Linked DNA regions of Nothobranchius furzeri. The main gene of each other region encodes a partner of the protein of the gene in region 2 in a complex. Links are inferred from orthologs where the notes say so. Each region holds a gene or a part of one and is shown on either strand. Other genes may lie near its edges.

The links.
Region 1: rrn3 (region 2) and ubtf share a complex: the UniProt entries of both Homo sapiens proteins name them as parts of the pol I pre-initiation complex. The link is inferred for Nothobranchius furzeri from reciprocal best matches to the Homo sapiens genes RRN3 and UBTF.
Region 3: rrn3 (region 2) and polr1h share a complex: the UniProt entries of both Homo sapiens proteins name them as parts of the pol I pre-initiation complex. The link is inferred for Nothobranchius furzeri from reciprocal best matches to the Homo sapiens genes RRN3 and POLR1H.
Region 4: rrn3 (region 2) and polr1c share a complex: the UniProt entries of both Homo sapiens proteins name them as parts of the pol I pre-initiation complex. The link is inferred for Nothobranchius furzeri from reciprocal best matches to the Homo sapiens genes RRN3 and POLR1C.
Region 5: rrn3 (region 2) and polr2f share a complex: the UniProt entries of both Homo sapiens proteins name them as parts of the pol I pre-initiation complex. The link is inferred for Nothobranchius furzeri from reciprocal best matches to the Homo sapiens genes RRN3 and POLR2F.
Region 6: rrn3 (region 2) and taf1b share a complex: the UniProt entries of both Homo sapiens proteins name them as parts of the pol I pre-initiation complex. The link is inferred for Nothobranchius furzeri from reciprocal best matches to the Homo sapiens genes RRN3 and TAF1B.
Region 7: rrn3 (region 2) and polr1b share a complex: the UniProt entries of both Homo sapiens proteins name them as parts of the pol I pre-initiation complex. The link is inferred for Nothobranchius furzeri from reciprocal best matches to the Homo sapiens genes RRN3 and POLR1B.

Annotation. Positions count from the first base shown.
Region 1 is NC_091745.1:10,210,262-10,214,647, forward strand, and holds the start of ubtf (nucleolar transcription factor 1), read left to right. Parts: upstream 1-1,481; 5' UTR 1,482-1,619; intron 1,620-2,114; exon of another isoform or gene 2,115-2,271; intron 2,272-3,753; 5' UTR 3,754-3,775; coding exon 3,776-3,812; intron 3,813-3,983; coding exon 3,984-4,156; intron 4,157-4,386. UniProt on the Homo sapiens protein: Recognizes the ribosomal RNA gene promoter and activates transcription mediated by RNA polymerase I (Pol I) through cooperative interactions with the transcription factor SL1/TIF-IB complex.
Region 2 is NC_091758.1:12,122,268-12,126,554, reverse strand, and holds the start of rrn3 (RNA polymerase I-specific transcription initiation factor RRN3), read left to right. Parts: upstream 1-1,300; 5' UTR 1,301-1,435; coding exon 1,436-1,576; intron 1,577-1,927; coding exon 1,928-1,984; intron 1,985-2,052; coding exon 2,053-2,142; intron 2,143-4,287. UniProt on the Homo sapiens protein: Required for efficient transcription initiation by RNA polymerase I (Pol I). Required for the formation of the competent pre-initiation complex (PIC).
Region 3 is NC_091751.1:25,535,435-25,539,892, forward strand, and holds the start of polr1h (DNA-directed RNA polymerase I subunit RPA12), read left to right. Parts: upstream 1-1,518; 5' UTR 1,519-1,622; intron 1,623-2,192; 5' UTR 2,193-2,215; coding exon 2,216-2,333; intron 2,334-4,458. UniProt on the Homo sapiens protein: Core component of RNA polymerase I (Pol I), a DNA-dependent RNA polymerase which synthesizes ribosomal RNA precursors using the four ribonucleoside triphosphates as substrates. Can mediate Pol I proofreading of the nascent RNA transcript.
Region 4 is NC_091752.1:59,335,090-59,338,797, forward strand, and holds part of polr1c (DNA-directed RNA polymerases I and III subunit RPAC1), read left to right. Parts: intron 1-1,222; coding exon 1,223-1,355; intron 1,356-3,708. UniProt on the Homo sapiens protein: DNA-dependent RNA polymerase catalyzes the transcription of DNA into RNA using the four ribonucleoside triphosphates as substrates.
Region 5 is NC_091752.1:66,414,020-66,418,087, forward strand, and holds polr2f (DNA-directed RNA polymerases I, II, and III subunit RPABC2), read right to left. Parts: upstream 2,602-4,068; 5' UTR 2,466-2,601; coding exon 2,446-2,465; intron 2,190-2,445; coding exon 2,120-2,189; intron 2,032-2,119; coding exon 1,901-2,031; intron 1,103-1,900; coding exon 1,031-1,102; intron 937-1,030; coding exon 846-936; 3' UTR 577-845; downstream 1-576. UniProt on the Homo sapiens protein: DNA-dependent RNA polymerase catalyzes the transcription of DNA into RNA using the four ribonucleoside triphosphates as substrates.
Region 6 is NC_091742.1:16,192,753-16,197,046, reverse strand, and holds the start of taf1b (TATA box-binding protein-associated factor RNA polymerase I subunit B), read right to left. Parts: upstream 2,989-4,294; 5' UTR 2,857-2,988; coding exon 2,839-2,856; intron 1,587-2,838; coding exon 1,488-1,586; intron 539-1,487; coding exon 451-538; intron 260-450; coding exon 162-259; intron 88-161; coding exon 1-87. UniProt on the Homo sapiens protein: Component of RNA polymerase I core factor complex that acts as a GTF2B/TFIIB-like factor and plays a key role in multiple steps during transcription initiation such as pre-initiation complex (PIC) assembly and postpolymerase recruitment events in polymerase I (Pol I) transcription.
Region 7 is NC_091752.1:7,761,817-7,765,510, forward strand, and holds part of polr1b (DNA-directed RNA polymerase I subunit RPA2), read left to right. Parts: intron 1-65; coding exon 66-289; intron 290-368; coding exon 369-540; intron 541-1,254; coding exon 1,255-1,426; intron 1,427-1,517; coding exon 1,518-1,799; intron 1,800-1,875; coding exon 1,876-2,009; intron 2,010-2,922; coding exon 2,923-3,093; intron 3,094-3,177; coding exon 3,178-3,334; intron 3,335-3,408; coding exon 3,409-3,605; intron 3,606-3,674; coding exon 3,675-3,694. UniProt on the Homo sapiens protein: Catalytic core component of RNA polymerase I (Pol I), a DNA-dependent RNA polymerase which synthesizes ribosomal RNA precursors using the four ribonucleoside triphosphates as substrates.

The DNA.
Region 1 (4,386 bases), on a different chromosome or scaffold from region 2:
ATAAGAGGCCTAGAATAAAATAATTGTCTGAGGAGACTGTTGCATCAGGGAACATTTTCCTTTTGTTTTGCCTCAAACTTTGTGTGTTTGAACCACTGTACATGCTTTGGATTTCCCTTAACTAAAAAAAAAACAACTTTAAAACGATTTTTTTTTCCATAAATGCTATGTTTACATATTTTTCATGCTTTAAGCCAAAGTTCTAGGCTGCTTTCAAGGTGATCACGTAAATCCCAGTACTATAAAGTTTTTATTCAAAACTAGTGGATGGCGACTTGTTTGCCAAGAGTCTTAATGAGATAAATTATAGTAGGATTGTTCCTCAGAGAGAAATGTGTTCGTTATTCTTATATTATGTTTAAAATACTATTTAAAACATAAACGTTCTAAAAACATGATACGCAAGCATAATATTCTACATGGGAAAATTACTATTTTAGCTGCCTTTTTATCCTGCTAATAGGTTAAATAGTTGGTTTTATTTTTAAGTCTAGTATTGTCTAGTTTTATTCAGCCATATTCATGATTTCAATCTTCATCAAAGGCAAAACAAAAAAGTAATTAACAATTACACGTTAAATTCGATTTAATACTTTGTAACCACATACAGGAAACATGATATAAATTACTGTGAAAGATAAATACGAACAGGATAATTGAAATTTAAGGTAAACAAAAAAGATAACACAATTGAATTCTTCAAACTATATTATATAATTTTAATTGTAATTGTAGAAGTTTATTTAAACAGTGACAGTGCACAACTTGACATTAACCACAAAAGAAAGATGCAATGTACCAGGTTATAGTGGGGATGCTAATTTCCACCTGTAGTGCCTGGGAAGGTTGATATTAAAATCACTAAACTAAAACAAAAGACGACTGTTTTTGTCCAGTTAGCTAAATTCCTGACACTAATCCAATAATACTTTATTCCTACTGTAAGTGAACATAGCACAGTTTAACAAGACTGAGTGCCTGAAAGTCTTTGTTTTCCTTCAATCGGACGGACTGGATTGGACGGCCGGGGGTTCCGCCCACAAACACACAAGGTGGAGTTGAAAAAATAACATGCTGGGCTAAAATGAAGCTGTCAAACAGCCAGTTACGTTTGAGTCAAAGAGGTTTGGTGCCGGGGGAACGGCACGGACACCGGAAATAAGAGTTAGGAGAATAATCAGACACTGATTGGTGTCAATTATAAACTTTAAAGATGTGTGCGTTCAATGAAAAAAAGTTCACTGGTGGCGTTTAAATTAGGTAACCAGTAAAGCGATTTTTCTTTCAAGTGTAGGCAGACGAAATGTTAGAGATGCAAACTTCAGTGGGAGACGTGAAAGTCGGGCTCGATGAGAAACAATAAACTCTGCTGGCTGAGCTCAGAAAATCAGCGGCGTTAACACTGGGGAACATGGGGATGTGTCGGTGTAGCGGAAATGGTTGGATGGAGAGAAGAGAGCTGCTGCACGTTGACTGGAGGGAGACAGCGAGAGAGATGGAGGCGGGGGGAAGGACCATCTCTGCGGGGACTGGAGCCCAGGACCGACGGCGCAGTGCTGGCTATCGTTCAACCCTCCCCTTCTTCATCCACAGCGACGCGGAGGCTCGCGCCGAGACAGGTAAGCAGCACGAAAGTCGGTCGGTTTCATAACCACACGTGGAAAGAGCGCGATAAACAAACCAGAAAAGCGGTTAAAAGTCGAAAAATAGACATTCTGTTTTTAATGTTGTCTACCAAAGCTCCTTAGGCGGCAGGATCTTTGTGGTAACGAAACAAACTCCCCGCTGGAAGGGCGCAGACGAGGTCGGCCTTACCCGAATTTCTCTGCCCAAACAGCGGGGAAGAAGCTGGATGTAAGACCCAGTGGTATGATGTCTACTATAAATTACACCCAGTGAATTCATGAAGCGAATTAGTTTCACGTAGCATCGGGATTTAGCTAAGCAATCGTTTGTTTCGCGTGGGGAAATGTTTTCCGGTAGTTTCCGCGCCGAGACCTCCACGCGGCTGTTGGCGGAACAGCTAGCCGCCTCTCGGTCAGCCATCAGGGATCTCGGTTTAATATCTCACCGTGAGGAGACTCGCCCTCCCCTCTCCCCCTCTCTCTCTCACTGACTAGCCCAGAACCACCGACAACCGAGCTCGGAGAACCCGCCTTTCCGTCCTCGCTTATGCGCTTTTTGGAGCTAGGGAAGGGAGTCTGCAACGCCCCGGCTAGAGCTTTCGGCTCCGTTTTCAGTGTTCGCAGTACGCCATTGGACCTTGTCACGGTAGGTTTGCTTACAAGAGCGGGGCTGGTAGCATGGCGGACCTGGAGCCGTTTTGTCGCGCCAGAGAAGCTGCTCAGCCGCGGATTGTTCTTTAGATATCCGATAATGAAAGAGCCGATTAAAGCCCACATTTTCCTCGAAACGGAGAATAACTAACACTAACATGAAGTAATTCAAAATTAGGTCAATAATGTTGTTTCACCGTACATATATTTTTTATTTTAATTATGTTTCGCGCCTCCGCAAATAATTTAACCTAACATTTATTAATTTTCGATCTGGTGTAACTTAATTTAGAATATTTTGGAGCATTTTGTATGGTTGTCAAATAATTCATGTTAATTATACGTTGTAAACACAAGTTAATGTGATCCCTAAATCGTCCTTGTGTGACACAAATTTTGATTAGTAGCAAATACTGTTGACTAACTGTGCTACCTTAGATGCTGGTATGATTTTAGGCTTCTTTTCGACATGCTAAGTTACACGGCGTCTTATGTTTTTTTTTCCACATTTATGTAGTATTTTTGACTAAACGTCATAAATCCGACGTTTGAATTTGACATTCTGCGCATTTTACATAAGAAATATGTCGAAAGTAGTGTTAGAAACGACGCGAGGAGACACGGTTGAGCTATCAAGGACAAGATGAACAACGGTCATCCGCCATCATTGGAGCACAGCTCGGCTACGCCTCGCTGAAGAATGCTCTGGCTTTTTGGTCCAAAAAACAACTGCGTGATACCACAAAGCGAACAAAATGTTGAGTGAATTATTCTAAAACGCACACATAAACCCCCTCACGCGTAGAATGCTAGTTTAGTCGTTCTTGTTTTGGGTAAACATTAGTGGAGAAGACTTTAGGGCTGCGTGGCGGAGCTAGATCCACGTCCAACGGTGATGAGGCGTCTCCGCCGAGTGGCGCATTTGGCTGCAGTGCTTCCAAGCTGCCATTCCAGGCTGTCGGAGACCGAAAGCAGATCCCCCGTCCGTGGTCAGCTGGTCGCCTACAGCTGCCTGTCTGTCCACGTTCATTCGCTTCCTCCTTCCGTGGATCCTCCCCAACCTCCGCTCCGACAGAAAGTCCTCCATTACCGAGCAGACCGAGCGAGAAAATGGTCGCTCCTGAGCGTCCACGATACTTCTGTTGTAGAATAAGGACAGCACTAATTCGCCAAATTCCGGTTGGCCCAAAAATAAAAAATAAAAAAAAATAAAAAAGAAGCTCGACAGGGACTCCTGTTGTCGTCGCTAGATATGCTTAGTTGAAGCCCTCCGCAGTGTTATTTGAGATTTGAAGCCGTCACAAGCAATAGCCTATGCCTCACCATGCAGCGTAAACGTTTAGGGGCGGTGTAATGAACATAAACCATTATGTCGGCACACATTTCAACTCAAACGACTTACAACAGAGATCAGTTATAATAAAGTTAGAAAATATGAATTTTAGTGATTTTGATTAATTTATTGTTTCTTTTGTAGTTCAAAAATCGCATTTTCACAAATGAATGGAGAAATGGAGGCAGCGACACATGACCAAGGTAGTATATTTATGAGTCATTTTTATTTATATATATTTTTTTAACAAATGACAAATACTTGTATAATCACGAAATTGTTTTAATGAATTCCACATTTTGTCATCATACTATAAACATAATGCAACCATACTAATAAATCCATGAACCAGTTTACATGTATTTTTTTATCAGTGTGGTCGCAGGATGACCTCCTAAAGCTGCTGGAGGCCATGAAAGTGGCTCTGCCACAGAAAGATCTGACTAAATACAAAACATCCGAGTCCCATCTGGACTGGCAGAAGGTGGCCTTCAACTCCTACACTGCAGAGATGTGTAAACAGAAATGGCAAGAGGTCTCTAAAGAGGTGAGATGCTCAGATCATGATTTTTAGGTCGTAAACCTTTTCAGATGTAATATTTAGATTAAGTTCTTAAAGAGGTCCTCCAATGAGAAACAAGTTTGTCTTATTTTTGGAAATGATCTGTTACATTACGTTTAACATGCAGAAAATAGTCTCCTGCTTTAGCTTCTGATAGAAAACAGACGGAACTCTAGGATTTGAAGGTCCTGACAGATCTACGTCACACTGTCACT
Region 2 (4,287 bases):
TGATTCTTCCTGATGTAAGAAGTGAGTCTATTATTTGTTTTGGTAGTTTTGGCATTTACGTGATCCAAGAACACAATGTTCTGTGACGCAGCAAAAAACTGTAAAATGCTCAAAAACACTGGCAGTCCGGGGCTTTTCTATTCAGAAAACGGCCGGCAATGAATGAGTTAAGGGGGGGGGGGGGGGGGGGGGCATGGCCCCTGGACTCTGACTAGAGCACTTCCGCCCCTGGATTCCTTGGTAGTTCTGCTGTTGTGTTTGGGTCATGGATCTGTTTGATGATCTGGTTCAGTTCAAGCTTCAGCTGGCAGACAGATTGACTCTGAGACTCGGTGGTCACTGAAGGAGTTTCTGATTAACTCGATTACTGTTTCTTTTTATTTCCGACGTTCTCAGTCCAAACAGGTACACCAAAGTTTGTCTGAAGGGATGCAGCCTGTGGATTTCATCCGTTCATTTCATCACGACGTAAAGCAGCAAAATAAAATCGGATGCATTTACCCTCTCAGGCTCAAAAATAAGTTTTGATAAAAGGACGAACAACTAAGTCCTTCAGGGGTTCTGAGTTAAAACATGCTCATGAAATACATGTGTGGGGTAACCAGGTAGGTAGGTTTTAACGTTGCACATCTGCAACGCCGACCTCTAGAGGGTTAAATCAACCCAGTCAAGCCCTGTAAAAGAGTGTAGCCAGTCCCACCCAACATGGGTATCAGGTTGTGACCTTTGAACTTAGTTGAGAGAGACCACTGGTTTTTCTCCAGGATGCAGAACAACATTGATCTGAAGTGTTTATTTTTCTTTTCACCTATTTATTTTAGCAAAAAGTAGAATACTTTTTTTTCCCCTTAAAATGTGCTTGAGGTAATATGTTTTTCTAAATGACACACTAGTCTGGTAGAGAAACAAAACAAAGTACAATAAAGATATAAAGTTTCAGAGGCACAGTAGATGTGATGATCACAGTTTGCTATGTGAAAAAATCCACAGTTTTAGTTAATTATGCTCAACACTTCAAAGAAATTGATGAACTGTGAAAAAAATAATTCTCAGGTGCTTAAATTTAACATTTGTTTTCCCTGATGAACACATTATATATTTTGAATTAGCAATCTTGTAGCACACAGGTGGTAAATTCTTACAGAAACTATATTTAGCTAATATTACATTCAGGGTGAAACACAGTTATTTATCGTAAAATAATGCTTTTCTGTTTACTGTAAAAAAAAAAAAAAAAAGTGGGTCTCGCGCACCGCGGGAAGAGTTTTAATGTGACACCTCATCACTCTGTTCCGGAAACACGTGATTTCTTCCGCCTGCGCTCACAGCAGCTTGCCTTTGCTTTTCACTAGTGTTTTGGGGTCTTGTATTGATATTGTTCCCCGTCTTTATTCCGGTGAAATGAGAGAATACGTTAACGTATACGTTTAGTTTGATGATAGCCACGTTAGCTCGTGGAAACCAGCGCGTGGCCGGAACCATGGATGCAGACGGTAGGGACTTCCTCAACTCTCCTCCGGCCAAGACGGTCCGGTTTGGGGGGTGCGTAGCGGAGACTCTGGAGAAAGCCAGACACGTGAGTGCTGTAGCTGGTCCAGTCCAGGGCATGGTAAAGACAACAGCTAGACTTCTCTGGCTTAACATGATCTCGGCCAAGTTTAAACTGATAGATGTTAAAGATAAAAAAGCAACATGTTTAATTGGGACCCAAGGTGCCTCGAGGGTTAAAAGACGAGGAATGAGTTTTAACTTTAAACCAAAAACATGAATGTTTCAAATACAGGTGGAAGGTGAAATATCCTGGGTGGTTGTGCTGTGGCAGAATCATTTTACTTTAGTTTGATACGATTGTTAGCAGCAGGAGCAGCTCCTTTCACCTTCCTCTAAGAGCCCTGTGTCCTGATGAGGCGCTTGTCTGTTTTTGAAGGGGGACACAAATGACTACGAGCTGCTGAAGCATCAGCTGGTGGATCCTGAAATCAAGGTAAAACCTCTGAGGCTGATCTTGGGTCGGTGTGAAGGTGCGAATAATGGTCATGTCTCTCTGGACAGGATGCTCAGCTCATCAGCTGGCTGCAGGAGTTTCGGAGCTGTGTGACTCAGTTGACAAAGGACCATGAGCAGCTGGTTTACACGATTCTGGTGAGAGGACAGCTTCACTGATGAGGAGAGCTCAAACCTTCATTTGATCAGATTAGATGGTTCATTTCCCTTAGATTATCTGATTGAAAACAGAACTTAGTTCAGTGATTTCTGTAATTATAGGGAACAATTGTTAGCTGTTTGCAATGTCAGCTGGCTCCTATTCATGAGGAGGAGGAGGTGGATCTAGTCCTTCCTCCTAAGCCGGGCGTACACTGTGTGACTTTTTCACTCGTAGCACTCAGCTTCAGCTCACACTGTACGACTTCCTCGCAGGGCAGATCTCACGAGTCAGGTGCTCACACTGCACGACCCAGTTCTCGCATGCGACCTGACTGCTCACACTGTACGTCTGGTAGCAACATGTCGGACCTAAAAATGTGCTAAAAATAGCAGTTTTTACTCAACACGTCAGACTTTTTTGTTTTGTTTTGCCTGTTGTCCTTCGGGAGTGCTGCAGGAGGACACACAGGGATTTATGGGGGTTGGATGAGGAAAACAAAATAAAGAAAGTAAATCTGTGTTTTGTGATCAGTTTAATTTGACATGAACACGACAAACACGCTTTCTTGACAATCTTTGTGAGTAAAAAACGTGTAGAAACAAAAATGAGCAGCGTGTGTTATTAGGGAAATAGCGGACGAGCAGTGTTGATGCAGGATTGCGCCGTGAGCGGTTCTGATACTTTTTGGGTCGCAGCCGCTCGCAGCGCCGCTTCAACAGTGCGATACCCTCACGAGGAACGAGCGAAATATTAAACACGCCAGAAGTTTGTGCGACCTCACGATTGCTGATCGGTAGCTGGTCACGTGGTGTTACTCGCCTCTCGTAACCCCTGTACACTACACGACGCTCAGCGCACACTGTGCGACTTTTTCACTTTTTTGAGCCGATTTTCCAGTCGTGCGAGAATCCACAAGATCGGGGCGAGTTTTGCGCCGAGCGGTCGTGTAGTGTACAGGGGGTTACGAGAGGCGAGTAACACCACGTGACCAGCCGCCGATCAGCAGTCGTGAGGTCGCAGGGACTTCTGGCGTGTTTAATATTTCGCTCGTCCCTCGTGAGGGTATCGCACTGTTGAAGCGGCGCTGCGAGCAGCTGCGACCCAAAAAGTATCAGAACCGCTCACGGCGCATGCGCGCGCAATCCTGCATCAACGCCGGCCGGTCGCTCGCTATTTCCCTAATAACACGCTGCTCATTTTTGTTTCTACACGTTTTTTTACTCACAAAGATTGTCAAGAAAGCGTGTTTGTCGTGTTCATGTCAAATTAAACTGATCACAAAACACAGATTTACTTTCTTTATTTCGTTTTCCTCATCCAACCCCCATAAATCCCTGTGTGTCCTCCTGCAGCACTACCGAAGGACAACAGGCAAAACAAGACAAAAAAGTCTGACGTGTTGAGTAAAAACTGCTATTTTTAGCACATTTTTAGGGCCGACGTGTTGCTACCAGACGTACAGTGTGAGCAGTCAGGTCGCATGCGAGAACTGGGTCGTGCAGTGTGAGCACACGACTGTGAGATCTGCTCTGTGAGGAAGTCGTACAGTTTGAGCTGAAGCTGAACGCTGCGAGTGAAAAAGTCGCACAGTGTACGCCCGGCTTTAAGGCTGCAGAGGAAAGTCAGCTCAGCTACTTGTGTTCAAGGACCCCCCCCCCCCCCCCCCCCCCACACACAGGGGCTCTCCTTGGGGTCAGCAGCCCCCGGGGGGCTGGGAAACCCACACACTGGTTGCGTTGGTACAGCTAACGGTGTTTCTGAAGAGCACCCAACTTTTTGACCATTTTACATCAAAGATTTGCAGGTTCATTGTTTTTAAATCGCACACAAACAAAAAATGGCCTTTCATAGAAGTAAAGTAGATTTGTAAAGGATTAGCTAACAATATAAAACAGCCGAGTAGCCACGTGCCCCTCAGATGTCCAAATGCTGTAGGCCCTTCTAGATCTACACAGATCAACAGTTATGTCATAAAGTTTTTAGTTTTTGTTATATTTAGATTTTTTTTTAAAAGGTTAATGCTGCAATGAGACTGTAGTCACCCGGTAAAGGGTCATTTTAGCATCCTCTGGCTCCAGGGCTAGGGTTAAAGGGGACCTTTAGTTCACACATTTCCTGCTCATAAGGTCAGCTGGCTCCGA
Region 3 (4,458 bases), on a different chromosome or scaffold from region 2:
TTTTTTTTTTTTTAGAAGTAACATAATTCCAATCTGACTCACAAATCTCAGAGCTGGATCATGGAGATGAGGGTGAGGTTTGTTTGCTTCAAGGTAAGAGCCAAAAACTGCCATCGCTCATGATGTCATGTCATAAAACTTTGGGGTAGCATCATCCTGTCTATACTTGTGTGAAAGCAAAGAGTTGGTTGGTAACACAATCTAAGGGTGGATCTGTTAGTCAGGAAGCACTGATGACTTCGAGTAAGTGTTCTGCAGGCAGGACTGGGATGATTTAAATCCAGAAATTTGTCACTGAGGCATGTGAGACATGATGGTAGAATTGATATGTTGTTAATAAAGTTGCTAAAACATTTTAATCTTCATGATAACATTTTGCAACACGACCTTCAGTCACAAAGCTTTATTCTAATGCTCCACTTTTTGTAATCTTTTTCTGGGATGTCTTGAAAACAACAAAGGAAGATGAAACAACCTTCTGTGATCCATCCACGTCTGCTGGTGAAGTTCCGTTTCCTCCCTGACACATTATATGGCAGGAATTGATGGACCATTTAATTACTGAATGTGTGATGTCTACATCATCAAAGAAAGATTAATACTTGCATTAGGGCTTATTGTTTGTCATTCTTTTACTGTGTTCAAATTATGAATTGTATTTTTGATTTTCATTAACATTTAAAAGGAGTCCACAAATAATATAATATGGAAACAATTCATTAAAATAAAACACCTATGGAAAAGTCAGACATCCGTTCAAATTTTCTACATACATGCACCAAACAAATGAATGATCATAGGTTTCAGCCTGATAAGAAAACACAGCATCACTGTCTCAGCTGGTCGGTTCCAGTTTCACTCCAATGTGAACTAAACTAAATCAGAAAATTTCAAAATTTGTGATTTTAAGAACATTTGGTTTGTGTGACATCTGTAACCACCGATGTGTAGATTATTCTAGTGGCCTTTTTTTTCTTCTTCTTTTTTTTTTTTTTTTGTAAAATAGATAAAAATAAACAGTTATGAGCAGTACTGTTTTTGACATGGGCGACCTGGGTAATGGCCCAGGATGGCATCATGAGAGGGGTGGCAAAATGGGTACGAAAAAAAAACTTATTTTGGGAGCGCAGTGCCTGAACATTATGCTGGTGTGTGTAACTTTTGGAAACATTTGTTCTGCTGCGTGCTGCAGAGGGAGGAGGACAGGTCTGCTGAAGCGGCTTGAGTGAAGCAGCATCTAAAAGTAAAGTGTGTTCGCCCAGGGCACCGAACAGGCTAGGACCACCCCTGGTCATTGTTGCCCCAAATCTCTGCACAGTAATTATGAGTTTAGTGTTGTTTATTATTTCCACGTATGCTTTACTTTGGTATTGAAATGCTTCTGGAGATGCTATATGATATTTCCACCTTATTTTATTGTTTGACACCATTTAATGGTATTTGCGAATTAATTTAATTATTCCCAAATAACATTTTGGTCATTAACTCATGTCACGTAAACAAGCGTGCGACACTAGCACGTCCTGCGTCATCAGCCTGCGACAATAACGTGATAGGACCATATACATAGCTGTGGATAGGACCCTAGGACCTCTACTGCAAACAAGTGACCGGTGAAAGAGGTTTGTAACGTTTTATACTGACTTAATAAATGATGACAGTAGCGCTGTTTTGAACTAAATGTGTAAAGAATAGCCGAATACTAATATAAACATGTAAAAGGTTTCCAAGTAGCTCCACGTGCTCAATGTGCTGCTGCTACTACTGCTAATAATAACAATAACATTCACTCGTTAGATTTCATCACACAGCCAGGAGGTCTTTTAAAGTGTTAATTTATAAAGTGCTAAGTCTTCATAACGGAAGTTACGGTGTAACTATGGTTCTGTGAGTTCCTGGATGACTGCCAGTCACAGGGGTCACTCGGAACTTCTCGGGCGAGAAGATCCCGGGAGACCCGAACGTAGCTATCGGCGCGTAATTTATAGACTCGCGACCAGGTGCGCTACGTGTCACGTGCGTGACTTTGTTTACATTAGTACTCGACCTGCGCAGAGCGCGAGGAGATACATCCACTCTGTTTACTGCCACTGGCAGTCAGGAGGGAACGAAACAGAACCCATGTGAACCGAACGGGAAACCAGTGGTTCATGGTTTTGATTGTTGTTTTCAACGTGTCTGTGTTTCTCAAGAGTCAGCAGCCCGGTTCGACGGGATGTCTTATTTTAGTGGTGACCCGAACTTCTGTCCTGAATGCGGGAACGTTCTTCCGGTACCAGTAACCTCCAACACTGTCCTGTGTCCTCGCTGCTCCTTCTGCATTCCTGTTTCAGGTAACGTGTCCCAGAGCCGTTTCTAGCTTTGTGAGGGCCTGATTCAAGAGGCTGTTTGGGAACCCGGGTGGAGGTGGTGATGATTCCTCAAAGTACCACAAGTGTAGTAAAAAGAAAAAAAAATCACTTCACAGTAAATGTATTTAACGTGATAGTGATGCACCGATATGAAATTTTTGGGCTAAAACAAATATACAATATTAATATCACCGTTATGGCCGAAAACCGATACCGATATACCGACATTAATGCTTCTAAAATCAGCAGATTTTGTGTAGGGCTTGTGATCACACGTGATTACGCATAGCATTCTGCAAACTGTGAAATAAACGGTACTGTCGCAGAGTAGAAGCAGATTTGGGTGAAAGAAAGTGTTAAATCACATAAAATCCCAACAAGGATGTGGAATATACAGGGACATGTTATATAAAGACGTCGGGGACCGGTATGTGGACAAAATCATCATTATAAATGGTTTTGATCCACATAAAAGACCCAAGACTGGAGCACTGGTGACATATTGTTGCAGCTGCAGTTCTGCATAACAGACTTTTTCGGCTATCTTGTTTAACGTCCAGATGAGAGGTAAACGTTTAATTTGTTGGTTTTTCTAGTAAAACAATCAAAATTGTCATCCCTCAGAAGAAGTGTAGCGAGAAAAGTTATGTTGTGTATCATTAGCTTACCGGTAGGTGAGTGTAGCCTCTGTGTACGTGTGTGTTTCGTGTGCATGTTGCGGTTGAGGGAAAGAAACGATGTATAAAAACGTACACCATCTGTAATTTACCAGAATGAAAATAATTTGGAAGGTGATGTTTGGTCGCCTTACAGCTGCGATCCAAGTGAGCTAACAAGACTTTATGCTAGATACTTGGTCTCTGTCGTTTTGCCACTAAACAGGAAAACTGTGGAAAGTTAGCTTGTTTTTCACCTTAATTCCACTGGCGATCACGTGTGTCACATGAATTAATAATACATAAAAAGTATCAGCTGTTGTGCTACAGCTACTATTTACCGTCTATGTGGTAGATTACTGTAAATACAGGCATGAACATGTAAGCACACAAACAAATACATATATCAGGTGCATCCTGCATGGAGTAGTGACCGTAGCGTTTAAGTGGCTGGCTGACTAATGACGTCATAATGTGTTATAAATCCCATCTACTGGTGGAATCGGTGGTCTACGGGAGTGCTCCTTCCTGCAGCGGGGGTATATCAGTTTCTGACTGAATGAGCTGCTCAGGTTGATGTGTGTTGTTCATGATGGATGTTAGCTTAGCTAGCATCCTCCTCTCGCCCACCACCGATTCCAGGGGGCATCCCAGTACAGAGCTAGTCCTCTGCACCAGTTTGCCAATTCTGTTCTGGTCCCTGTCTGTACATCCGCTTCCCCAACAGGCCACTGCATAGAAAAGGGCAGATGCAACCGACAAATCATAAAAAGTCCTTCACAGAGTTCTGCATACTCTGAAGGACCTCAGTTTCTCAGCAGGTGGAGTCAACTGCATTTGAGATGGGCAGATGAAGGACAGTCCTTGTGGTAACTCTGGGAGAGCTTAGTCTGACTGATTGTTGCCTTTCTCCTTTATTGTTTTTTCATTAAAAACAATACGCATCCAAGAAGAAGAAGAAGAAAAGATCTCTTCTATAGCGCCTCTCAAGATAAAAATCACGAGGCGCTTCACAAAAACAAAAAATGTAAAAATATAAAAAAGAATTTAGAAAATGATTAAAAATATATTTAAAATGAGCAAAAGATAGACAATTGTGATTAAAAATGTAAATAAAGAGAGAGATTGAATAGGAAAGAGGGAAATCCAACACAATTATCTTGAATTTTAGAAACACACACACTTAAAAAATACATATTTCAATCAGGGATTACAATTATTATTTTTTTTTTCAAAATTTATCGTTTTAGCTTTTTAGAACAGTTTAATTTGCTTGTTGCTGTCATAACAAAAACACCTACAAAAACTATTCACATGAATACTTTTTAAAAGGTGGGCAGCAGTGCCATAAAAAATATATCCACATTAAAACCACTGACTTGTTACTGCACCACCATGAGCTTTACACTGTTCCAAGGACTTATCCTTGCAGTGCGGTTTAATACTGGAAC
Region 4 (3,708 bases), on a different chromosome or scaffold from region 2:
AGAGTAGTTTAATACTCATCATCTTTTTCGTGTCCACACTCTGGTGCTGGTGCACACCTTGTGGTGGAATAAGAACTGGATATATATATATATGGTGTCCCACAAGGTTCTGTGCTGGGGCCTCTGCTCTTCCTCCTCTATCTGCTTCCTCTTCAGCACATCCTGAGCTTCTTCAAAGGAATCTCCTACCATCTTTATGCAGGTGACATCCAACTGTACATCTCCTTTAAGCCCCATGAGATGTCTCAGCTGCAGCTGTTACACACCTGCTTAGACTCTATCAAAACCTGGATGGCTGGGAGCTTTCTACAGCTGAATGAAGATAAGACTGAGATCCTCATCTGTGCCCCAGACAAGCTGGTTCTCAAAGTCAGGGGCTCTCTTGGTCAGCTTGCATCTCACACCAAACCTTCTGTCAGGGATCTTTGTGTGACCTTTGACCCAGCTCTCAGCCTGGATTCTCATGTCAGTTCTCTTGTTCGCTCTAACTTCTTCAATCTCAGGAACATCGCTAAGCTGAGTTCCATTCTGTCCCGTTCTGAACTTGAGGCTTCTCCACAACTTCATCTCCTCACGCTTAGTTTACTGCAACTCTCTTTTCACGTGTCTGAGCAGAACTTCCCTGAACCGTTTACAGGTGGTTCAGAAGCTTAGAGACGGAGCAACATGTCGCTAGCATAGCGGCTAATCGCTAGCATAGCAGTTTTACCAGTTATATTGATATAAAGATATAAAGTCATCTTGTATCTTGTTTAAAAATTATATAGATATTTTAAAAATATCAATTTATTGCCCAGCCCTAATATATATATGTATGCGCACCCATCCATCCCCCCCCCCCCCCCCCCAACAGCCAATGCACAGCACCAAAAACGTTACACCCCACCCCCCGTGAACCACGGCTGGAAAATTTTCTAGGGGAAACACTGATAACAATTTTCTTAGCCAGTGTGCAGACCCATTCAAATCTCTGGTGATGACGGAGTTTCTGCTGGGTCAGGTCCATTATTTATGTCTCTTTCTAATGTTCACATTATGGGATTCATAGTAGCAGTGAATTAAGGCTGGACTCATTCTCAGGAGAAAGAATCCAACATTTTTATAGCTGGACTCAACATTTTCTCCCTGATGCGATTAGGCAGTTAGACCTTTATAGGCAAAAATGTCTCATTGTATGTTTTTTGTTAATCTTTTTTATGCTTTGCTTTTATTTTGCCTGCAGGTGCCCACAATGGCTGTTGAGAAGGTGTTCATCTATAACAATACATCAATTGTCCAGGATGAAGTCCTTGCTCACAGATTAGGCCTGATTCCCATTAAAGCAGATCCTCGTCTGTTCGAGTTCAAGAATGCAGGTACAACAGTCAAATGCGCTCCCTCAGCTGCTTCTTACCCAATGCTGGGTAGGGAAGTGCCCATGGTTTTTACTACGCCCAATAATAACCTGTATTACATGACGAGCGGTGACGCCGTCATCTTGGATCGGTCCCCCCCTCCTTTCTGACAGAGGCATTGAAGTGTCAGCATGTTTAATCAACCATAACTCCTTCGATAGTAAGCTGATTTTGAAACATTTTTATTTTCTTTGCAAACTTCGCACATGCAGCTCTGATACAGGACACATGTTTTAGCATAGTGGGTTTGCTTGGGTACATATGTGACTCTTGTTCAGAACTTAGGTGTGGAACTTAGGCTGAGCGGGTGTTCCAGTAATCGGAAGGTTGCAGGTTCGATACCGGCTCCGGACAGATAATTCTGCTGTTGTGTCCTTGGGCAAGACACACCTTGCCCTCTGGTGGTGGTCAGAGGGACCGGTGGCAGCCTTGCCTCCGTCAGTGCGCCCCAGAGCAGCTGTGGCTACATTGTAGCTCATCACCATCAGTGTGCGATTGAGTGTGTGAATGGATGAATCTGTAGTGTAAAGCGCTTTGGAGTCCTTACTCTGAGAGGTGCTATAAGATAAGATAAGATAAGATAAGATGACCTTTATTAGTCCCACAAGTGGGAAATTTGTTTCGTTTACAGCCAAGCAAAGTAAAAGTAAAAGTTATGCTGCAGAGGGAGAAAAACATTAAAATACAATAAGACCGACCGCAATGAGATAAAATAAACTCAATACAATAGACAGTTTATACCTTAAGAATGGGTTAAAAAATAATAAATAATAACCATACTAGATACAGCTAGAAATACAGAGTACACTTCATCCAACAGCTTTGTTGTAGAGTCTGACAGCAGTAGGGAGGAAAGACCTACGGAATCTCTCTGTCCCACACCTTGGGTGCCGCAGTCTCCCACTAAAGGAGCTGCTCATGGCTGTCAAAGTCACCTGCATCAAGTGTGGGTCATTCATCATTTATCATTTAGTTTCAAAATAAGGATCAGTCACTAAAAATCAAACAATGAGAGTCAAAATAATTAAAGTATCATACAAAATGTGTGTGAGATCTATGGCAGGTATTTTTAAAAATATGAAAGAGAAGCAGAAAGCACTACTCAGCCATTTTAATTAACAATTTAAAGTATATATTACTTGTCGATAAAAACTGAAATAAATGGGTGTTTGTGTAACTCATTTACAAATAGTGTCAATATCATTCAAAGAGGTGCGAGAGAATAAGAATCAGAAGGGTTTTATTGCCACATGTGTGAGAATAGCATTAGGAAATTGCTGCGGTTCGTGGTGCAAGAAAAATAAATGATAAGCAAAAATTAGAATAAAGAAACAAAACCAATTAATTCATAATAATACAGGGAGACAATAATTAAGAATGCATACTTTTCCATAGTCACTTCATTTTTAAGCCCTTTTATGGATATTTTAGAGATGAGATTTCAACCATGATGAACTGCTCTCAGACGCGGGGTTTTCCTGCCGCCTTTAAAGGGGCGCTGGTCAGACCCCTGTTGAAGAAGAGAAACTTCAGACCGATATCTGACTTACCATTTGTAAGGAACATTTTTTGAAAAGCTTGTTTTAATTCAGCCTGGTGATTTTGTTAATGCACATCATGTCTTGAGAAATTTCAGTCTGGTTTTAGAGTAAAGCACAGCACCGAGACGGCCCTTTTAAGAGTTTTAAATGGTCTAAGAATAAATTATGATGCACAGAAAGTAACTGTTCTGGTTCTACTGGATTTAAATGCTGCCTTTGATACAGTGGACCACAATATTCTTTATATAAAACACAATATTAAAACACATCGGCCTGTCTGGTGCTGTCCATAAATGGTTTACTTCTTATCTCACACAGGAGTTTTGTGCTAAGTTTAGACCTTTTTATTATAGCTTTTAGCTGAGTTTAATCTATTTTAGCCTGTTTAACCATCTTTTATATATTTTATCAGTGTTTTATTACTTTCTCTTTTACTTAAATTACTTATATTTTCATATTATTTTTAACTTGTTTTAACCTGTATTCATTATTTGCATTTCATTATGTTTATATACTTAATTGTTGCTTTCTACTTGGTTATTTTTTATCAGTGTGTTTTAATTAGACTTTTATTTATCTGGTGTTAATGCTTAATTTGGTTTTTAATTTGTTATCTTAATCTTAATCTCAAATCAACCACTTCCCTGGGAGAGGCAGTCGGCTGTGGCTGCCAGGGTGCTTCTCGTGCCTCCTCTTGGTGCCCGAGCTGCTGCTGCCGGTGCAGTTGGCTCCTTTTCCGTTTCTTTGTTGCCTATTGCATCTGTACTCAGCCA
Region 5 (4,068 bases), on a different chromosome or scaffold from region 2:
CACCGACCGAGCACGAAGTCACACGAGTGACTTCGTCAGTAAACACAACAAGCAGGAGAAAATTACAACATGGCTCCAAAAGGTTTGTGTTTTATGTTCTGTCCATTTTAGAATCGCCAATACGGACCTGAAAAACAAAGGAGACCGCTAGCTAGGTGATAACTTCTCACGGGGCCGCACAGTTAGTAACTTTTTTTAAAAGTAAAGCAACCGGAAGGCAGTACGTTCTTTATTCTGAAAATCTCGGGAGCTTCTCTCCATTTCCGCGTCCGATTTCCTGTCTTTCCTTCCCCAAAAATGTCGAACTTGACCCGTTTCAGAGGCGTCGCGTGTAGAAAATAGAACCGGCGCGTAAAGGCCGCGACATGCTGCTCCTGAGAAGCGGCCGACTCGCGCTGCTGACGGCTCCGGTGGAAAAGGTTCTGTTGACCACAGCGGTTCCTATCAGCAGCTATGACGCGCTGCTGACGGCTCCTGTGGAAAGAAGGGGTGACATTTAATTTTCTAAATGAAACAACCGCAGCAACACATTTCTGTTTTAAACCAGAGATTTGTACATAAATCCATCACAGCAGCTTCTAGAAATGACTTTATTAACAATAAAACATTCATTTACACCGTCTCTTCCGAAAAACAAAACAAGCCGTTTAGACTCCTCACGGATGCATAAAAAGTATTTAACTAAAGGTTCTCGTCTCTCCTCCTCAAGTAGATGTTAAAATGGTGAAAAGAAATTAAAACAACATATTCATAAACGGATCCCAGCAGGCAAACGTACAACTCTGTAAAAGTTAGTGAGTCTCTAAAAGTCCAGAGATGATGATGTGTGATGCTGGTTAGGATGTTTAATCAGTTATGATGAGCTCATCACAGCCCCAGTCCTCGTAACTCCCATCAGGAAGGTACCTGCGGATGATGATGGGGATCTTTCTGCCCCTTTTGGAGAAAGAGAAGAAAAGATGAGTGAAGTAAAAAGTTGTTCGTTAAATAAAACCAAAGCCAAAAGTTGGTGCTTGTCAAAGTGACTTACTTAAGTTCTTTCATAGCGATCTGCAGAGGGTCAGTCTCTCCCTCCAGCTCCACCATGACAGGAGCACACATCCTGTTGGAATCAAGCCAGCACAGGAAAAACACTTTTATTCAGGCAGACTGATGCAACATGGGAATATGGGGTTTATAGTGGGCTAATTTCTCTAAAGCTGGGAAAAAAGTGACTCATTAGTTGCAGCCATCCAGCCAGCATTGGAAATTAAATACAAATAATTCTGCATGTAGATTCAAACGCTACTTTTAGCTTTAAAATGGGCTTTGGCATGCTTTTATTTTGAAAGCAGATGAGGCATTTACACAAGCAGCCGCCTGTTTCCAGGAATTTCTGCTGGTGGGAATTCAGAGAGCCCAAACTCAAGACAAAAACAGAATCAGGAGTTGATTTTACTGATTTACCTAAATAACCTTCTGTTGATACTAGGTGTTAATGCGCTATTTAGCATATTTAAGTTTTTACTTAACCCTCCCACTGTCTTCATGGGTGACCCCGCCAGGAAAGTTGACCACTGAGCAGGATGGATGGTTTATCCCTTGATGTCTACATGGCAGGGGTGAGGTGGTGCTCACTTCTCACCCCTGCCACATGGACCCAAGGGATAAACCATCATCCCTGCTCAATGGTCAACTTTCCTCGCGGGGTCACACCCATCAGGACAATGGGAGGGTTAAATGTCTTTTGGAAAAACGAAACTTTTACTGACATAAATCCCGAAATGAGCCCAGCTAATTTCACTGAACATCTCTAAATACTAAGTTTAGGGAGGAAACCTACTCTCAGTGAAAATGTGTTTAACGAGTTAAAGATCAAACACACTCAGCTTTAACCGTGATCTCATGTAAACACACTCACGCTATCTGCAAGGCTCTGGTCCCTAGCACTCTGGCCCGCTCGTATTTCGTCATATACGGTGTGGTGATCCTCTTCTGGTTGGCCTGCTGGCCTTCTCCTGCAGGTAGGATCTGCACATTCTCCTGATCCTCCTATTCACCAGAGCAAAACAAACAAGCTCAGACCAGGAGACAGCTTCATAAAAGTCTCAAGTGGTGATCCGTCTCTGTAATAACTCACATCTTCGACGTTCTCCAGGTCGTCTAGTCCTTCGTCCTCCTCTGCATAATCAAAATCTCCATCATCGAAGCTACGGAGTTAAAACCTTTGATCAGATATCTTAAACTTTAGGTGATTCATAACTTTTAACAAGCTTTATTGAAAAAGTACAAAAGTACGTAAACTTGGATGGGAGACTGAATAAAACAGGACGTAAGCAGCAATACACAGAATAGGCAAGGATCATAATAAACAATACCGTGTGATGCTAATCGAGTTAGCATCCCCGTTAGCTTACGTCGATTATACAAAATGACGCAGATTATTTAAACGATTTCTTTACTTACTTGTCTTCGTTGTCCGACATGATAAATTTTTAGAGTAGTATATATCCGTGTAAAATATTTTAACGTTTCTAGGCTACACTTTTGTAACCAACACGAATCCACATGAACGTTGCACTGGCTGGTACGCTACTAAACATTCCGGTCGGCCAAAAGAACCTCGTTAGAGTTCCCTTTCCGGTCTGTCTTTTTTTTTTTTTTTTTTTTTTTTTGATGTTTCAGAAGCATCAACAAGGTTTACCGTTGCAACACTGCCACCTTCTGGAGTTAAGTCATTTTCCATTTAGTTTGATCTGTAAATTCTACCAACTGTAGGTTAAATAAAGGCTGAATAATCCCCATTCTCTCTCTCTCCTCACTTTCTTTAATGAATTGTTATAATCAAGTGCTAAAGATTTAAGGAATTTGACACGTAAAAAAATATTATTTATATGTGCAATTAATCAAATTAATGCCAAATTATTTCACGAATAAATCATTACATACATAAATTGTTAAATGGGCCATGGATGAAAATTTTTAATTATTTTGTTTTAAATCCTAAAATGCACACCGACTCCTCCAAATCCAAGGCCTGTTTATTGACTAGAGAAGACTGGGGCTGAATCCAGCGATGAATTAATGAGAATTCTTCCGGTCGCTTCCCAGGAGAAGTGTTCCAGGCATGTCTTGCCTGTAGGAGGCCCCCAGCTCGATCCAGGACATGTTGGAGGAATCATCATGTCTACTGGCCAGGGATTTCCATGGGGTTCTACCGGTGGACCTGACTGAGATCCTGGAGAGAGGACCATTTCGACTTCACTGCCAGCTCCGCCATGTAATAATTACTAAAATTGTACAGTTTAATGATTATCTGTAATTTTTACATCAAATAAATGTTTTTATTTATAGCACATTCATTAAAATCATATATACATAATTATTTCATATTTCAACCAACTAATGACACATTCAATTAATGATATAAATTTTTTATGTACTTTTGGCCCTCTATTTGGTTGTATGTCATGGCTAACGAACGTGGTCTTAAGCTTATTATCTGCACAAACAACATAAATCATCTCACGTAGAGCTAACGTGTCTGTCAGAACGTCACCCAAACATTCATGACGCGCCTATTTTAAAAGGTGACACACCACAAGGCTGCCACCTGATGGTCACTGTGGTACACTGCAATTTCCCTCATTTAACAGGGCCGGTTTCCACCAAAGTGAAATAAATAAATAAATAAATAAATAAATAAATAAATACATACATACAAAGGACCAGCTTTTTAGAATCAGAATCAGAAGGTTTTATTGCCATATGTGTGCCAAGTCACAACATTAGGAAATTGCTGCGGTATTTGGTGCAGAAGGTAAGATAGAAAGAAAAATTTAAGAGATACGCAAATATAGGAAGTAATAAAACACTCATGATAAAATTATTAATGTAAAAAGTGGCAAGAATTAGAGAAGCAGCGATCTACCCCGTGCAGGTACTAATCTGTTTTTCAAGCACAGCATCGGATCACGTGACTGGGACCAACCGACTTGAGTGGGCTGCCGTAGGATTTTCGTTGGAAAGTCCAACTGCAGAGGGGAAGAAACTGTTTTTGTGGCGAGAGGTTCTGGTCCGAATGGATCT
Region 6 (4,294 bases), on a different chromosome or scaffold from region 2:
TCTGAACCTGGACCCACGCAGCCGATCGGAGGTGTACGCCTGCTGGCTCTTCTGCAGGTAAAGTCTCCACATCTGACACAAAACCTCCTGAAATGGATCAGACGGATCAGACGGGATCGGCCGGCGCCGGAGCATCCACATCCGCTTGAGAATAAAAGGACCTTAAAGTTCGGATCGACTCCCAGCCGGAGCAGAGCGTCAGCCTGGTTCTTCAGGATGAACTGGAACCCCTCACAGACCAGCCAGGTGTAGCCGCGCTCTGAGGAACATCAACCTGTCAGAAACTAAACTGAAGTTCCCCTGCAGCTAGAAAACATCTGGGGACGGCTTTAGAGACCAGAAAGGTCTGTGTTTGTAAAATAAAGTTGTGTGTGTGTGGTGTATGTGTGTGTGTGGTGTATGTGTGTGTGTGGTTATTCCAGCTGAAACCACCTCAGAGGACACACCCACCTTCTTTACTGGTTCTGGGTCCTTTGGCGATAGATTTTAATCTGTTGGAGCTTCCAGCGACGCTCAGGTCCACCACCTCTATGGTCCTCTGAGCACAGGAACATGTATAAAAACCATCAGGGGAGGCCTCAGATAAAACAGCGCCTCCTGCTGACAGCCACAGGCACTACAGCTGCCAAAAACCCGTTTTAACCACGTTCCATGGCAATGACGCTGACAGGCTCAATTGTACGTAAAAGCGTTGGACTTGGGAGGCAGAGGAAACAGGAAATCAGTCAGAAAGTCTAGAGCATTTATCATTCAAGCTGATGAGGACCTTAAGATCAGTAGAGCCTGCTGTCCAGTAATCAGAGGGAGTGCAAAATGACAACCTCACCTCTCAGACAACCCCAGGGCAGCATGGCTACGTTTGAGTTTTCCATCACCAGCAGAGAGCCCAAAAGCTCTTTATAAATCTAATCTATTATTATTATCAGCAGTAAACAGCTGCAGCAAGGTACCAACTGTCTCTTTAAAATGTGAACTCAGGAGTTTCCTTCACTGTGCTTATTATTATTATAATTATTATTATTATCTAGCAGTCTAACACTAAATGCTCCAGCCTCTCAGAAGTGCAAGCTAGCATGGCTAAAGCTAACGGAAAGCTTAAACCCACATTAATAACGTCCATGCAGACACATGTTCAGAAACCACAATATGAGAATTTAGAAGCTTCTAACTTTCAGAGTTTTAAGACATCTGAGGAAGTGTTACCATGGTAACATACTCATTGATTCTCATGTAAGTTCTCTTGTTCGCTCTTCCTTCTTCCATCTCAGGAACATTGCTAAGCTGAGTCCCATTCTGTCCTGCTCTGAACTTGAGACAGTTATCCACACCTTCATCTCCTCACGTTTAGACTACTGTAACTCTTTTTTCACGTGTCTGAGCAGAACCTCCCTGAACCGTCTGCAGGTGGTTCAGAATGCCTGTGCGCCGCTTCTGACCAAGTCCTCCAAACACACCTACATCACTTGTAAGTTGTTGTTGTTGTTTACCTCTATGACGTTGTGGCAGGACATGCAGTAGAAACGACCTTCTTCTGAGATGCCCCAGTTCACCGCTGCACACTGAGCGCAGGGCTCCCTGTAGCCAGCCTGGACAGGAACACAGGTACGGGTGAAGAGAGCAACTCAAACTCACCTGAGCTTTTGACAAAAACCTAAAAATTATTACTAATATTATTAATATTCTCACAACTCACACAAGTAGATTCACAACAAACTTTGAATAAAAAAGCAAATAAAAAGTAATAAATTAAATCTAAAATCTGATGCATAATAAGAAAAATGTTTGTAAGAAACTTGAAAAATGAGAACCTTCAGTGAGTTAGACAAAAATTAGCTTTTGAAGAAAAATTAGATAAATTAAATGAAACAGAAAGAAAGAGTAAAATGTTAAATCTTACTTTCTTGACCACAGCAGGATGTTGGTGCATCAAAACGGGTTTAAATACTCAATAAATAATAAACACAAATAAAAGCTTAACTATTAGCAGCTTCTGCTCCACCTGGTTCAGAAAGCCTGTGCTCGGCTTCTGACCAAGTCCTCCAAACACACCCACATCACCCCGCTTCTCCTCCAGCTTCACTGGCTGCCAGTCAATTTCAGGGTTCATTTCAAGATCCTGGTTCTGGTCTATAGGGCCTTACATGGACAAGCACCATCTTACATTGGTGATCTTCTTAGTCCCTACACCCCCAGCAGGTCCCTGAGGTTCAGTGACCAAAGCCTACTGGTTGTGCAGCACCAGGCTAAAGGTGACAGATTATTTGCTGCTGTGGCCCCCAGACTTTGGACCTCTCTCCCCCGAGCCTGAGGTCAGTGGACTACGTGGTCTCCTTTAAACTCACCTGTGCAGGCTTTAGTGGGACCTTCATCACCTCCCTCTCCGTGTTCTGCTCTTATTCCGCCTTTCATGTGATCCACTGGTTTCCCACTTTTTCTCATTTTAAACATATTTTAAATCCTTTTTATACTTTTTTTAAGCTCCACGTGATTTTTATCTTGACAGGCGCTACATAAAAGATCGTTTTCTTTCTTTTTTCTTCACAGCTCTAATTAGGTGGAATGCTAGCCAAAACTACTAACCTCTACATGAACGATTGAATAACTACGTTGATCGTGTTGGTAACGTTACTAAATCTATGCCGATTACTAAACCGACCGCTGTAGATTCCGACCAAGTTGTTAAATGATTTCTTTCGGACTTCGTATTTAATAATAATGAAAGAAGGCGTGTTGTTAATAGGGTTGTGTGTGCCTCAACCAGCTAGCTAACATCAACATTCCCCCTTAATTAAATGTACGCGACATATTTACAAATAAAAAATGCTTAAATGTGTTTACCGTAGCGTCTTCATCCATCGTGATTTAAAACTAAAGTCTGGTCATTATGTGTTTAATTTATTCATTAGGTTTTCCTTTTAGCTCTCAAGCTAAAATGAGAGAAGCGTATTTGTAGCTGGAACCGCTTCATCTTCATCGGTTGATTTTAGCGACTGCAAGGTTTCTATACTGCCACCAACAGGTTGCAATGTGAACTACAACCGCCAACTATGGTTATAACTCGCTTTTGCTGTCTGTGTAATTCAACATTCATCAATTACGTGTCAAGTACATCCGGAAGAAAATGTTTTACAACGTTCCAATTAAAACTATTGAAAGCTCATTTAGATTTTTCACAAAGTTATTCAAAAGGTATTTTATGTAGAGTTCTGCTGTATTTTATTGTATTTTTGTCATATCTGATGTTCGGTTCGGCCGTCATGTTTGCTGGTGGTGTTTTACAGACTTTGGCCTCTCGTTTAAAAGCGGATTTGGATTTGGATGAGATCAGAGATTATAAAAAGACTCGCCAGATGTTTCCGTCTTTCTCTTATGTTACGTCACGAATCGAGTCGCTTTTCAGAAGAAACTTTATTTTTGTGTCTTTCTGTTGTGGTTCTGGAAGTTAGGAGCTTATGTTTCTTGTACAATCGCTAAAATTCACGACCCAACTGCTGGGTTCATCTTTCACGAGCTCAGAGAGCACACACGCGTTCTACTCACGAGCCCGTCGAGCGCGCGACAACACGCACAACAAGCTGAGGCGCACTTTCAAAATAAAAGCAAACACTAAAACAAAACAAAGAATTTAAGAAATTATTCATTTGCTGTGTACCAAGAAAATATCAAATAAACTGTTACAAGATAGTTGCTTACATATTATGTATTTATGTTTAATGTAGCTATTATTTTGAGTTAAATATATATTTTATATAATTTCACATGTTTCACCAAAGCTCAGGCTTCTAATTGTGAAAAACAAGTAGGTAACTCAAATTGGCAATAATAAACTATTTTCACAGTTAGACTTTCTTTTAAATTAATGTATTTGGTCCAATGGCTTTCATTTGGACTAATTTGATTTTATCCTGGTGCACGTGTCAGTTATTTCATTCAGATTCAAATCCAAATTATGTTTATGTATTTAGCAGACGCTTTTGTCCAAAGCGACTTACAAGTGATAATTGGCATGTTGCCCTTGATGCTAACAACAACAATAACAACAACAAACAATTTCCAGTCAGTTGTAGGTAGCAGCGAGGCAGCATGATGAATCATGGAGAGGAGGGAACAATAATAATAATAATAATAATAATAATAATAATAATAATAAAAAACTTTATTAATCCCTCGGGTGAATTCCTTCGGGAAATTCAGTTTCCAAAAAAAGCAGCGCAACACCGACAGAGGTTACAGAACGTCAGAAAATATTATATAATAATAAAAATAGAAATAAATATAAAAATACAATTGAATT
Region 7 (3,694 bases), on a different chromosome or scaffold from region 2:
AGCTTTGAAGCGTGACCTGGTGTCGTTCTGTGTTAGTTCACCGTGTTTTCTCTGGTGCTCTTCAGGCCCTGGTGGATTTCACAGACTTCCAGATCCACCAGGAGCTGATCAAAGGCCGCGAGGACAATTCTTTCTACAAGACCTGCGTGTCAGAGATGCTGCGTATGGTGATGGAGGAGGGCTGCACCACCCGCAGCAGTGTGCTCAGTTACCTGGGAGAGCGCTTCAGGGTCAAGCTGAACCTACCTGAGTGGTACACCAACGAGCAGTGTGCCAACGTCCTCCTAAAGTAAGCCCTAGCGGTTACACTGATTTAAACTGAAGCTTTCCGCAGCGACACATCAGTGTGTGTTTGTCGTCTTGTGCAGCGAATGCATTTGCATCCACCTGAAATCGGACACAGAGAAGTTCTACCTGCTTTGTCTAATGACCCGGAAGCTTTTCTCGTACGCCAAGCAGGAGTGCATGGAAGAAAACCCCGACAGCATCGTGACTCAAGAAGTGCTCACGGCTGGTCAGCTGTACCTCATGTTCCTGAAGGCAGGTGCTCTTTTTTGGGGCCTTCTTGGGTTTTGCACCGTGGGAATGATGGGGCGCGTGTGGCAGGAAGACTTGATCTCAGTATCTATAGAATTGACTGAGTTGTAGCCAGTTTTGTGTTTTAGGAGGTCAGATGTGCTGTGATGGTTCCATTCATTCAGTCGGACTACAAGTAATGAAGGATTCCTTGTGTGGGATCTAGGTTTGGGTCAAAACATAAGAAGTTATTTTCATGACATGAAAGCATCTTTGCAGCGGATAACGCTAACGTGGGTCATGCAGCACAGGTGTGTTCCAGCTGTGAAGGCAAACATGGCCGGAGTCTCACAGGATTCACTCATATCAGCAAGTAGGGAAAGATTTATGGGAGCTTCTGAGGTATTTTGGTCGCCGCAGGCTCCCGTGCCTGGTTACACGGGGGTTTCAGCCCATCTCACCACACGTACGACGATGTGTGACCGCTTAGACGGAAGCAAAGTCCACGTTTGTACGTGTGTATCGATACTGGGCCATCCTGTCCTTTTATATCAGATTTTATAAAAACTTGAGATGTTGTTCAGTTCTAGATGAACATAAGAAGGATTTCTGACAGTTTTGTTGAACTCTATCAAACGAACGTCATCAGTAAATCAGGATTATCAGTGAACTGTTGTAGAATCCTAACGATAACGCGCCGCTGATCGTTTTCGTTGGGACTCTGAACCGTGTGAACAGGAGCGGCTGACTGCCTGGTTGGTCTCTGTCAAACTGTCCTTCGACAAAAGAGGATCCAAGCTGTCTGGAGCCTGGACGACTGAGTCTGTGATGAAGATGTTGAACATGGGCTCAGACCTGACGAAGCCTTTTGAGTATTTGCTGGCCACTGGAAACCTTCACTCCAAGACTGGTAGGAACGCCGGATCTCAGTACGAGTTCATGCTGTGGTGTTAAACAAACAAACAGTAAAGCTGCATAAAGGACATCTTGTGTTTCCATAGGTCTTGGAATGCTGCAGAACACGGGCCTCTGTGTTGTAGCCGACAAACTCAACTTCATCCGTTACCTGTCCCATTTCCGCTGCGTGCACCGAGGAGCGGCGTTCGCCAAGATGAGGACCACCTCTGTTCGGAAGCTGCTCCCAGAGTCCTGGGGATTCCTGTGTCCCGTCCACACTCCGGATGGAGAGCCGTGTGGGCTCATGAACCACATGACCGCCAGCTGTGAAATAGTTGCACCCTCCATGTTCACCACGTCGCTGCCGGCTCTGTTTTGTTCCCTCGGTGAGCATCGGGTCAGACAGAAGGCCTGCGATGACCTTCCATGGAGTTAAAACGTTTCTGCTGTTCCTGCTGTCAGGTGTGACTCCTGTGGATGGAACTCCTGGGCACGCCTACTCCGACTGTTACCCCGTGGTCCTGGACGGAGCTCTTGTGGGCTGGGTGGAGAGCGATTTGGCTCCAGCTGTTGTCGAGTCACTGCGCAGGTTTAAGGTAGGAAACAGTTTTGACTCGTGTAGACGATAGTCTCAAGTTCTGGCCTGAAACGGGACATTTGAGTTTAAAGCATCCAGACGAGGTTCAACCACAGCTTTCCACTGCGTGAGCAGCGTGTAATGTCACTGGTGCCTTTTCTCTACCTCAGTGGCATGGAGTTATCTACCGGGGGGCGCTGCGTATGCATTCCACACAGCGACATCACAAAGTCCCATGAAAATAGCAAGATCACACGTGATTTCACCTGTTCACACAGTAACAAGACAAGATGGCAGCATGTATCCAAAAGGTCTCCTCCGCCAAGGAGGTTATGTTATTGCTGGTGTGTATTTAAGCTTAGGAAAGCGGACATCTGTGAGCGTTATAGTTTGATGGTTTCCAGATGCTTTTATTTCCTGTTCTGGCCCGCTCTGATTGGCTGAGCTTGAAGTGCTCTGGGAGCGCAGCGCCGTTATGATTTTGGGACGTGTCTGGTACGTGCCACTACCTGCAGGGTTTCCCCCAGAAAACGAGTTTAGCCTGGCGGATTCGGCCGCCGGGGGTCGCGCCGCATCGCAGCGCTCCTCTGTGAGAGCGGGGGTGGGGGGGTTGCACACGTTCCGCTGCTGTTTCTCACCAGTAACAGCTGATGGAGGGCTCTAGTTTCGCTGCGCCGTTCGTGTCAGTGGACACGGTAGGGGGAGGGGGGTGGGGCATGACGCTTAGCCTGGCGGGCCGCCAGGCTTATAAAGCGCTGGGGGAAACCCAGCATTTAGCCTGTTAGCTGTAACAGCAGTCGTTAGCTTTGTGTTTGCAGATGTTATGCAAGGTTAAGTTTAATGATGGGATGGAGGTACAAACAAACGCTGGATCCAGTGTTTGGCCCGCTACTTGAACGCTGAATCATCAGATGTCTTAATTTGATTTCTAGGTGCTGAGGGAAAAGAAAATTCCTCCCTGGATGGAGATCGTCCTTGTTCCTAAAACGGGCAAAGCCAGCTTATATCCTGGCCTGTTCCTGTTCACAACGCCGTGTCGGATGATGCGTCCCGTACAGAATTTAGCTCTCGGCATGCAGGAGCTGATCGGGACCTTTGAACAGGTTTTTTGGGCGGTGGGATTTTCAGATTTTTGGCTGCGTTGGGAGAATGAAAACAGGAAAAACTGAAAGTTTGGTCTTTTGCAGCTTTACATCAATGTGGGGATTTTGGAGGGCGAGGTTGAAGCGGGTGTCACCACACACCAGGAGCTGTTCCCCCACAGCATGCTCAGTGTGGTGGCCAACTTCATCCCCTACTCTGACCACAACCAGAGTCCCAGAAACATGTACCAGTGTCAGATGGGTGAGTCCCGGCTCCCTGCTCTCTGGTACGTAACTTGTGAAGCAGTGTGGTTGTTGAGTTATTTTTCCCACCAGGTAAGCAGACTATGGGTTTTCCTCTACACTCGTTCACGGACCGATCCGATAATAAGCTGTACCGGCTCCAGACCCCACAGAGCGCGCTGGTCAGGCCCTACATGTACGACCATTACAGCTTGGACAACTACCCTAGTGGCACCAACGCCATCGTGGCCGTCATATCGTACTCGGGCTACGACATGGAAGACGCCATGGTGAATATGAGGTGATTATTTGGAAGCCTCTGTTTGGGACGAGTCGCTGACGCTTGTTGGTTTTAACAGATCGTAAACAAGTCGTCCTG